2 linked regions of the Caenorhabditis elegans genome follow. The protein of the gene in region 1 purifies or fractionates together with the protein of each later gene. This does not show direct contact. Each region holds a gene or a part of one and is shown on either strand. Other genes may lie near its edges.

Region 1 (6,053 bases):
AATTGCTTGCTGTGAATGGTTTTTGTTGGAAAACCAGCGCATATATCAAATGGTCGCAGTGTAAATATGAAACCACAATATTTGCTTGGAATTTCATGGAACTGATGAATAAGTAGGACAAATTGTGTTAGATTTAGTCAAATTAAATTGAAATTAGTAACTAAATATAATTAAAATATGCAATCAATAGAATGACGTATAGTAGTATTCTGCGTTCCAACTAGAAATCGACATAAAAATATTTTGTTGTAAAATCACGAGGTTGCTTGAGAAATAACATAATACAATTTCAACACAATAACAATTCAATTGCTCTAACTACAATATTTTCTGTATAATCGGTGTCCTGTTCCACTAGATAGAAAATTGAAAAGGTAAAAGTTGTGTTGAACTAATTCAACTTTTCATGTTTGGAGTGTGAATCGTAACTGAAATTCCGAAAAACTATCTAACAATAAGTCAAAAACTTTAAAGAAAATCACCCGGAAATAACAAACTTCAAATGCATTACCTATAGGTATACAGTAGTCAAAATCAAAAACTAAACCACTATCAATCAAGAGACCCAACTCAAAAATTCTTTGGAAGAAATAAAATTGAAAGCAGGCCGGAAGAGAAAAGTTTAGTTTGAGTTTATATAACGTGAATGCTCTCGCTTTCTCTTTCAACGGAGCACTGAACTCTAGCAACTGCTTGTGCACTATCGATTCCACAGGGGTCATGCATCAAGAAAAATGAGACAACCGCAAGCGGACGATGTTTGAGACGATTTGGTAGAAGGAGGAAAGAATTGAATCAAAATAAAGTAACCGATTTGTTATTTCATTGAATTGTTCGAGTAGGGGGATGGAAGAAACGAAAAGAAGAGAAAAAAGAAGAAAAGAAAAAGAAAGATGCGATGATTGCGGCATGATGATTAGCTCGTTAGACCGTGTGAATTTTTCAAAAAATGGAGAATTTATCAAAATTTCAAAATATAAATAGAACGTTGGAGCTAGAAAGCTTGAAATGTTTGAAAAAAATACACCATATAGAACCTGGAAACCATGTTTCGTTTGCCTTTTGAACGAGAATATGAGATGATTTACAAGAAAATTTTCAAGAAATTCAAGCTTTCAAGCGTTTGATTAATATCTCGTGAAATTGAGGTGAAATTGAAAATCATATAATGTCAAATACAAAAAATATAAACTTGAAGGTAGAGCTAAAAATAATTTTTGATTTTCTCGTTCTTTTATCAGAAACTTCTGGATTTGAAAGCCATAACTAGATTATCAAAATATAACGCGATTGAAAAGTCTGCCGTTTCACAACCTAAAAACCTTACCTTGATCATCAATTTTATAACTTTTCCAAAAAACTCGGACGCTATCCATTTAGGTGTTAGAGTTTCTAAAAATGATCATTTTCTGTTCATACTTACCAAAAAGATTACTCATTTCGAAATGCCCGAAAAAATAGAACAGATACCGATCAGTTGGTCACGTCAAAATTCTTGTAATACTTATAAAAGTTTTGTTCTCGCGCTATGACGGGCGGTCTTGTCTCTTTTGCCTCTCAACGGAGCAAACATAAAACAGTTTGCACACAATTATTTACAAGTTAGCAGAGCACATGGTGTTCCAGTACTGGGAGGATGTGAAAGAAAAGTTGTATAGCGAGAGTATGAAAATGCGTTGATTGGCACTGACCAAATGTTTATCAGTGTGACCTGTCAACGAATGATGCTCACAATGATAAAGAATAATGCAAAGTGCAGCTCTTTAAGCAAAAAGGTTTGAAGTTCCATTTGTCAGGAATTTTTTCAATCAATGGAAAATCGAACTGTGTGGGAAGAATAGCAAGTGTCTGCAGGATAGAAACTCCAAATAGAAAAGGAATGGCATTGGGAAATGCTTTTGAAAAGCGTTCTTTCGTTTTCCAGAATGAAAACAAAGAAAAGTGATGCAATGGTTTTTTGATATGCACTGTCATCTTCAGATTCAGAAAAAAACCTCTGCCTATATAATCTGTCAAAGTCAAATAGTGGGGTGCAATACTAATAGGGAAAGGTTGTTTTAAACTTTCGAACTGCGATCGCAGATCGACATTGGGATTTGGCAGGAAAAATACTAAATTTGATAGCCACATTACTCCAACTAGTTGTTTAAAAAAGTGCAGAAAAGTAGACGCATAAAACATTATATGAACAAAAATCTACAAATCTACCTCTAACCGGCTCCATATACTTTGCAAGTTTAGGTGATGCTTTTGGGGTCATCATAGATGCCCTTGCAATCGAAAGCCGCCTGATTGGCCTGTCAGCAGCAACTGGAACTTGCTGCTGAGCTCTCATTTTTGGAACCGGAGTTTCTTCTTCTTTGAGGCCTGAGATCTTAACTTCTTCGATCACTTCCTTCTTTACTTCAGTAATTTCTACGGAAGTATTGACGACTTCAATTTCTTCTTCAACTGTTTCAGGAACTTTCTCAAGTTCAGAGATTTCTTCTTCTTGGTGGATTTCTTTTTTAGAAGTTTCCGGAGTTTCCGATTCTACTGGAACTTGTGCCGGTTCTTTATGTTCTTCAACAACTCTCCCTAGATCTTCGTCTTTTTCGACTTCACTTCTTTCTGATAAATCTTCAGTCTCTGCGTTCAGCTCCTCAAAACTGGAACTTGATACCGATCCGGAAATCTGAAAATCGTTACAATTTATTTAAAGTGGTGAAAAAAAAATCCTAAAAGTGCACAGTACAAATTTCTTGCTACTGCTTCATTTTGGTGGAAGCCGACCTTTTGCAAAAACGCAAAATTAAAACCAAATGTGACAGGGTTGGAGAGAAAATGTAAACATTATGAAAATTTGTGTATACCAAAAATAAATTAATCAAAAGTAAAACGAAATACCCACCTCATTTTTTGAATTGACACCTTCCAATGACGCTACATTCTGCTCATCAAAGACCGAATCGATTTTCTTCATTTGCCCTTCTATTCTGTCGGTTTGTGTTGCCTCCTGCTCTTCTTTCGTGGAGCTATTAATGACAATGACGGGTGGCGCGGGTGCCTCGTTTATTTTGTGTTCTTCACTATTCACAGACTCCATCGATACTTTTGTTGTAAGAGGAATAGGAAATGATCCAGTAAAAAGTCGATGAAATGTTCCAAGTTTCGAGGCAAAAAACTGTCAAGAAGAGAAGCGAGGCGGAGACAAGTTTCGCACACTTTTTTTGTTATCAATTTTTATTTCGCGACAATTCACTTTGCAAAGAAAAAAAAGCATAAGGAGAACAATGATAACAGGAGGAAACATTCCAGAACATGATGAAATACAAATAGAATTAAAAATAGGAAATGACTCACCAATTTCACCTCCGAATGGGTTTGTTGAAGAGAATCTCTCAGAAGTTTTTTCAAAGGGATTGGTGCTTTTCTTACGGAATATAACCAGAGTTTTATCGATATCTTCGTCTGTTACTGTTGGTCGACAAAGTTGACATCCCATAGGTTTTGAGTGGAGTCAAAAATTAATAGATCATTTAAAGGTAAGCGGGAGAATATTCAATTTGAAAAGAGCTGATTTTCTGATGAAATAGGATGTAACAAGTGTGAGAAGAGAGATTCAATAGAGATTATGATTCACATTGAATGAAAAATGTTAATTTAGATGACCAAAGATTAGAATGTAAAGCTGAAAAACAACATTTTTAAAAGTTGATTATAAAACGATGTGTAAATTTTTTGTTGTGCTTAAGCAATACACATAAAAAGTTGTGCAACGTGGCCTAATAAAAAATCACAAAAAATGATATGAATTAATTAAATCAGGTGAATTCAGGAATTTTTTGTGCCAAGGTTGAATGTTCGAGGTGAATTTTATCACCCAAAGAATTATATCCAAAAGTGGTACACTTGAAAACTTTAATGAGCTCTACGAGTAATTATATATGTAGTTCAAAAATATTCGTTTCAAATGCACAGAAATGGGCACATTTGTGAGCGAACATTGAATTGAGTGGATGCGCAAACATACGATGTTTTCTTTCTTTCTGATAAACCAAGAAGAATCAATCCAAAACTTAATCATTATAAAATTAATACAAAAACAATTAACCAAAATATTGTTAAAAATAAATAAAATATTGCTACAAACTATAAGAAATCCAACAATTTTGATATCCCCGTCGACAAAACGGTCAATGTTTGAACATAAATGTGGCTGCCTTCCGAAAAGCGGCACACAAACGAACAAAACAAAAATCGATGCGGATTCCCATATTTCGTATACATTTTTCCCAATATTATGGACAAAATCATAGTTGCGTAGGTGTTAAAATTCAGAAAAAACTCTATTATCAAAACTCTTTCAATTATTTTCAAACAAAATTAGAGCTTCAAAAATTTTGCACAGCTACGTCATTTCTCACCTTCATAATCTGGATAGAACGTAATTTCATTTCGATTAGCTCGTGGAACAGTACGGAAAAAATTATACATTTTATACAATAATGACAGTCGTGAATGGAAACTTTTGAAGGTTTTAACTTCGTTTTTTCAGTAGATGATAGTGTCAATTGTACGCTGTTTATGTAAATCCTATTGACGTAATATTGGATTTTTTCAATGCATTGATCAATTGTGTTTCATTCAATATTCCCGTAGAATGGCTCTATGATTCAATCAAATAATTTCGAGTTTACGGTTTTTTTGACAGTTTCTTCTAAAAGAATTCCAGATTATTTCCCCACCTTACACAAGAAAATAAATCCTAACCTGAAACTTCGACAGATTTATGAAAAATGATGGATGTATGAAACAAGTAAATCAACAATAATTTATTTACATTTATGTATCTCGCTACAAATTTATTTTGAAAAAAACAGATTAAAAACATGCATAATTTATGCTTTCACTCCTTCGAATGTGATCACATTTGGAATTGCGACACCTCGAGATGCTTGAATTTTCAAAAGTTCGGCGAATTCTTCAACTGCTTTTCCAAATCTTTTCACAGTATCTTCATCACTGAAGTCACTGAGTCCGTAAGTGACATCATTGTTTGCTTCTTTCAGCGAGTTCCGTCCCATTTGTTCAATTTGAGTGTTGCTCGCAAGAAGTGAGAGGACAAATTCACTTTGATCAATTGCATCGAAGACAGCTGAAGGGGCCAACTTTTGCAGAATTTTCTTTGGGAGATCTGGCTCCGCAGTAATCGGTCTACCCAAACCAATTCCTTGTGTGGCTCCGGATTTGATAGCTTCAACCATTGCGTTAACTGTACGGAAACCTCCAGTCAAGTAGACAACTGTGTTTTTGAAAACTGGGCGAATCTGAAAAAAAAACATGATAAAAATTAGTACCGCACGGAACCGAGAAAGAAGTTATTTAGGGGTAGAGTATATGTATGCCCCTATAATGTCCAATTAAAAACAATTAAAACTTACAATTAGTTAAATTTAAAACTCTCAGAAAAATACTAAAATATTATCAGAAATTGTTCAAAAGGTTCAGTGGGACTATCTACTTTCAATGCTGATGTCCTTACCTTTTCAGCGAATTCCAGGAAGAATGCCTCTCTTCGTTTTGTAGATTCTTTGAGATGCTGGAATGCCAGTTGTTCATAAGTTCCACCGGACAATTCAACAAAGTCAAATCCAATATTTTCATAAGCCCTGCACATTTCAATAGCATCATCCACAGTTGTTCCCTCTGATTGAAATTCAACTGAATTGGTCTTCAACCCAATCAAAAAACCTGTAGAAGCTGGAATTTCTTTTCTAATTGCATCAAATATTTCCAGAACAATTCGTTGTCTATTTGAAACTGAGCCACCATAATGATCGGTTCTCTTATTAGTAGTGGGCGATGTGAATTGAGCCAACAGGTATCCGTGAGCTCCATGAAGCTGTACTCCGTCGAATCCAGTTTCATAGGCATATTTCGCTGCATAAACAAAACGTTCAATGACTTCTGTTTTAATTTGTTCAGGTGTTAATGGGACGGGTTTTCCAAATCCAATAAAACGAACTTCCTTATCCAATTGAACATCGGATGCAGAGAACGGAGTTTTATTT
Region 2 (6,053 bases), on another chromosome or scaffold:
GATAAGAAAATAAGAGAGAGGGGCGAGAGCCGAATTCGGTCAGGTCAAGAACAAAGAGCGCGCGCAAATTTTATAGCATAAGTGGGAGAAGACTCAAACAATATCTATCACATTGTTCTTATAGTGAAGTGTCCGAAATTGGAAAACTACAAAAAACATGTATTGTCGATAAATTTACCTCAACACTTTCTATTCTATATTTTACTAAAATCTTTTGCAAAAAAAAACCTTTACAATGTTAGAGAAAAAATCTGTAGATATATTTCTCATATCTTAATAAATCTGACCCCCACCCTCCATTCCTTTCCCTATGATAAGTTTGATGTTTGACTACTGATTTGCACTTTATCGTGACCAACCGGCACTGTATCAGAAAAACAGCAAAAAAGTGAGCGCGTTCGCTTTGTCTACGAGCATCCTAAAAACAATGATCATTTGAGATTGAACACATTTCGATGTGACTGTGGAGTCGCTCAGTTTCTAGTAAAGCTTCCATGAAGAGACAGGCGCGGTTTCAGGGTCTGGAACCTGTCTGAACTATTCTCTGGCATGACATGAAATTCCTGGTGTTTGCACCACGTGCAATAGTTGGTTCTTTCAAGGCAACCTACACTTTTCGGGTCCCAAGCAAAGCAGGAGGCTCGCGGTTTCAGGCAGGCGCGGCTATTGTTTTGGTGCCTGCGTTAACATAGTTTCTAGCAACGCACTTTGAAGCTGGAACATAAGTTTAATATCTTGGTCGGCTTTTACTTTGAATAAAAGTTGTCAACCGATAAAATCTCTGTTGTCTATAAGTCTCTATAAGTTTCTAATCATAAAGTTTCAAGGTTTGTTCAGAAAAATCGGAAATTGATATTATGTAGATATTATCTTTTGATTTCAAAGTAACATGTTTTAGGGAAATACCACTTTGTAAACATAACATGAACATACTTATCACTCGACCGCCTGGCCGAGCCTGGTATCCGCCGCGGTTTTTTTTGTCAAATTCGGGGTCCCGTCTTGTCGTGAGATGAAGGAGACACAACCCGCCGCCGCCCTTGTGATCTTTTTCCTACGAACACAAACCCAAATTCCTCAACACTATTTCTCTCCCACCACCAGCAGCACCAAAATCTGATAAAAAATGACAAGTTTTGTCGTAGAGACTCCGCGAGGACAACAAACAGTGGCACGAGCAATCTCTTTCGTGATATAGTGTTGCAAAAAGATGCGCTTGACAGCTTGTCTACGCCATGATGTTTTTTTTTGCTTCCGTGTCTTTTCTAGGTGCGAAAAAAGAACAAAAAAGAAGACAAGTCTCTCCGGATTCGGAAGATGGTTTTGAATGAAAAGTGAGATTTCATTCAATTACATATGAATATGGCCAGTTACGCAAGGAACGAACTGGATGCCATCGAGAAATTAAATGGTCTTGTACTTTTGCAAAAAGAGACCGGTAAAGAAATTAGCAATGATATGCATGGAAATTATTTTCCATTTCTTTTTAATGTACGCTGGAAGTTTTAAAAACAACATTATCTTATTATCAGTTGAGCGAAAAACGCTAAAACATAAGTTACCGAATTTGCATTAACTCAATTGAATTTTTACAGTTACTTATCAAAAGCGGCTTAAATTTTTGGCTTCATCAATAGCACGGAAATTTCAAAATCGGAATGCGCTGCCAACGGATAATCCAAAAACAAAAATCGTTGTGAAGCAGTAATAGATTCAAATTAAAAGGCTTGAAATTAAAAAAAACTGAGAATAAATTTTCACAGTCCATAATATATTAGCTGCCCTGTCCAGTTCAAATTGCCTGACCAACATCGCATCGTATTTGACTAGAGGTGTCTCACTAATTGCGTGCATTGCGCACTTAGAATAATGGAGTTTTGAATTACACGAGATCTTACAAAAATGCGCGTTGTTTTTTATGTCCGGGAATTTGGATTTGGAGGGTCTCAATTTCACTTAAAAGTGGCAATGACTACAAGTGGCAGAACAGTTAAATTACAATGACTCGGTCGAATCGAAACCGAATGTGCACTTTGCAACAGTATACGAGTCGCGGTGGGCGCTTGGTGCTCGATTTTTGTTGGAAATGTGTGCATCGCGCGTCCTTCAATGTTATGGAAATATGCAGTAGTTCCGGAAAACATCATATCATTTTGAAACATTAGCTACATATTATTCGATACATGGATGGTGGATGTTTTAAGTCTTCAAAACTATATGTTTTCAAGAACAGATGTCAAGACTACTGTAGACTACTGTACTGTACTGTAAGACTACTGTAGGTCAATCACTTCCATCATAATCATAAAATTCTTGTGAAATCAACTATAAAATTACGCCACCCTCATCATCACTTCCGATTATTTGTCCTCTTTCATCCGTGCCCGGAATTCGTCCGCGCTGGTCAAGTTGAACTCGTCGACTCTTTTCTTGCCAAGAAGTTGCTCAACCCCCAAAAAACTTGATCCAGTGTTTCCTGGCGGCGGTTTTACCTCATCTGAGACGCCTTAGTGTTGCTCCCCCAAATAACCCTAAAAAAGGAAACAATAGTACTTTTTCGCAAGAGAGACCGCGACCTCGCGCGCGCCTTCTATTCTCGTGCTCATAAGCGCCGAGCTTCTATTTTCGGCCGACTTGATGTAGAAAGAGACAGAGAAAGAGTACTGACCTCTCTCCGTCTTCGCCACCTTCTCAAGCGTCGTGTGCGAATCTCCGCACCGGTACAGTATACGCGGAGAGGAGAAGAGACGAAAGATAGAAACGAAGAAGACGGAGAGGGCGGCGCGTTTCGCATACAAACCTCCCCAACCCCTCGGAAGCTTCCTATCCTCTAGCTCTCACCCTACCTGCTTCATTCGTTCTCTACCTCACCATCGGAGAGAAGACACATTTCACATCTTAACCCCCACCCACAATACCATTATTTTCAAATTCCGTCTTCTTGTTGCTCCGTTGTCTCCTCCCCTTATCTCCCACCCCATCACAGCCTTTTATCACTTTATCAGTGTTCAAATTTTCCAGCGTGGCAATTGTTGTCGAGTCCACCAAAAGAAGAAGAAGAAGATAGCAGCTTTGTTTTCCATCTGAATCGACCACCTTCTTCCATTTATCATATAATCACAAAGCAGTATACACATAATGCTGCGCAATCTCATTTTAATCACCCTCCTCGGTAAGCTTTCTTTCAAATTTTATATAATACATTCTAGATTCTGTTTATTTTTGAAAAATGTTAGCTCTAAAATTAAATACTCTCTCTTGAAAATCTATATTTTTCCATATATTTTCAGAGGCAAAAAAGTTTCTGAATAGTCTAAATTTGATCTTGAATTTAAATGGGTTTATACATAAAACTTATCAAACTTATTCCATCTTATAGTTTACTATTCAACTACTAGATTGCAAGAATTTGTCTGAAAATCTAGGCCTGAAATATCACTGTATTTTGAGAATTTAAATAATAATAATTTCCCATTCATTTTTCTTATCATTTCTCAAACCAATTTTAATTTACAGTCGCTTCTGGACATGGACAGACGCCTGTAATTGGCGGAACGTGTAAACTTGGAACTGCTGATGTTCAAATTGGAGGAAAACAGACACAGTTTTTCCTCAAGTGCGAGACGACAGCTGAGTGAGTTTCATTCAACCAAAACAACTGAAAATCTTTCATTCTTTTAGTAGTGCCGAAGGTGAAGGTGTCTGGGTTGTGAAGTCGAGAGCCGCCGCCGCTCCTTCATCAGTACCATCTGTTCCAGCTGAAAATACACAGCCACAACAACATCCAAAAGCTCGTAAACCAGCTTCCCCGAACATTTGTGGTGAGTTTCTTAGACTTCTTATTCTTCTTCATCACCAACATTTATTCCTCTATTTTAAATCGGTGGAAGCTCTTAAGTCAACTAATGAGCGAGCCCACTTCTGACCGCAAATAAACATCAACCACAGTGGTCAACAATAAGTTGAAATGAACTGTTACGAGCGATAAGGTATCTAGGAAATTGTAGAAGAAAGAAAAGTAGAAAAAAGTGGAAGTCCGACATCTCCAAGCCATATTTGCTTATGCTTCTGACAGTGTTTCTTGTGTATTTGTGTGTTTACATTTAATTCTTTTCCTTTTCCTCTCACTCAATTCAATTCATTCCAAAAAATAAAACACACACATACAAACACACAAACATCACAAATAGTGTGTAGATATTTTGCCAACGAATTCCAAAACTAGATTCACTACATTTCTTGTGACCAAATTTCATCATCTTTTCGAGGAAATTCGAGGAAAATGCGCCACTTTTGTCTGGGATCCTTTGTTTCACAATTCCATTATTTGACCACTCTAATGAACGCAAATGACCTAAATCCTCTTGATGGGAATGAAGAAAAAAACGCAACTTGCGGTGTCTTGCAATTCCTGCTTGCTCCGCCGGCTTTTGTCCACCACTCACTTGCGCACAGTGCGTTGAGAGTCGCCGGCGCGTGACCAAGAGGGGGTTCAACAAATAGGTCAGAAGGTTGATAAGAGAGTGTTGGAGGAAGGGATACGCAGCTCGCAGAGCTCACCAGTCGCCGCCGCGACCTACCGAGGAAAAGTGTTTTGTTTTTAAGAACCCCAGCGAGAAAAGACAGAAGGGATAACTTAATGAGATCGGGGATTTGGTTTAAAACTGAAATTTCATCTTATTATTCTAAATCGATCAATAAAATATTTTCAGAACAAGACAATGGAGCCCGCGAGAGCGAGGTCTGTGCCGTTTCAGCCACCTGTCTTCAGGCTCATAACGACTTCCCATCTTCCTACCTTCAATGTGACCAAACGTAGGAAACCGTTGCATAATAAAAAACAAAATGTTCAATTCCAGCACTCTCCGATGGGTCCGCAAGTCGTGCCAAGAGAACTTCTTGTTCAACTTTGAGCAACAAACTTGTATCGTTCCAAAGAGAATGAGCTCTCTCTCCCGTAAGTTGTTTTTATGATTAACCACATATTATTTCACTAATTGCTTAAACAGCATCAACATCTTCCCCATCTAACACTGAAAATCCCTGCTCGAAATGCCCACTGGGATCAGCTTGCCGCAATGGTAACTGTATCCCTTTAACAACTTCAAGTAGGTTCTAATCACACTTTTCCCGCCTATGATCTCTAACTTTCCATTAGATTTGTGTTCTGATGGTTCTCCTCCTAATAATACATGTACTCGGGATCCGTACTCTTGTCCCAAGGGACATTTTTGTACCGCACAAAAAGTGTGTTGCCCTTCAACTGCATTGCAATCATCAATTGGATGTTCGACGGTCTGCACAATCGATGAATCGTGTCCAAAAGGAATGACATGCCAGAATAACTGCTGTGAAGAAAGAAAACTACTACGACATCCAAAAGTATATCGATATGCAACTGTAGAGGCAACAAATACAATATTTGAAGTGGATAATGATATTTTTGATAGTGCTGCAATCGAATCACTCCCAACTCAAAAACCGCAGCGACTAGATGAAATTATGGCTCCAGGAATCACACCAACTCCGACAAGAACCACTGAACCTCCAAAACTTCGATGTTTGAGTAGTAACACGGACGAGGTCAATTCATTAGGTGCGTTCACTTTTCTTCCTTCCTTTTCTCATCTGTTTGTGGTCACTTTAAAGTATTTCGGAAAGAGCGCTCTCCGTTTCCACCACTGTTTACAAAGTAAATAGGAGCCTAATGAGAAGCACGCGCATTAGCTAACCACCTCATTTCATCAACTGTACTTTTATAGGCGGAGCATCATCATCATCTGCAACATGTGGAGGAACAAATGCGAATTGTACTTCTGATGAAGATTGTCCAACAACCTTCAAATGTTATCAAGGTTGTTGTAAATTGGCTGTATGTCCGAGAAGTCTAACAGCCGTCAAATTCACATGTAAAACTCAATATCACTGTAGAGCAAATGAACATTGCTTTTTTGGAGGATGCTGCCCAAAAACTATCGAATTAGCTGTGATAAAATCACAAGTTTTGACAATGAGCAAAGACAACGAGCACACCAAAGAGACAGAAAAACTGA

The links.
Region 2: the proteins of rme-1 (region 1) and chtb-1 purify together in Caenorhabditis elegans (affinity purification with western blotting, with the first as the bait; one study listed by BioGRID). This does not show direct contact.

What each region holds. Positions count from the first base shown.
Region 1 is NC_003283.11:6,207,308-6,213,360, reverse strand, and holds the start of rme-1 (Dynamin-type G domain-containing protein), read right to left. Parts: upstream 3,194-6,053; 5' UTR 3,086-3,193; coding exon 2,891-3,085; intron 2,675-2,890; coding exon 2,209-2,674; intron 1,440-2,208; coding exon of another isoform or gene 1,424-1,439; intron 1-1,423. Other genes in the region: W06H8.2 (NADH:flavin oxidoreductase/NADH oxidase N-terminal domain-containing protein), read right to left, coding at 4,881-5,309, 5,525-6,053.
Region 2 is NC_003281.10:9,352,431-9,358,483, reverse strand, and holds the start of chtb-1 (Chitin binding domain (ChtBD2) containing chtb-1), read left to right. Parts: upstream 1-3,138; coding exon 3,139-3,172; intron 3,173-3,516; coding exon 3,517-3,634; intron 3,635-3,681; coding exon 3,682-3,821; intron 3,822-4,084; exon of another isoform or gene 4,085-4,264; intron 4,265-4,712; coding exon 4,713-4,815; intron 4,816-4,859; coding exon 4,860-4,957; intron 4,958-5,009; coding exon 5,010-5,108; intron 5,109-5,158; coding exon 5,159-5,596; intron 5,597-5,762; coding exon 5,763-6,053.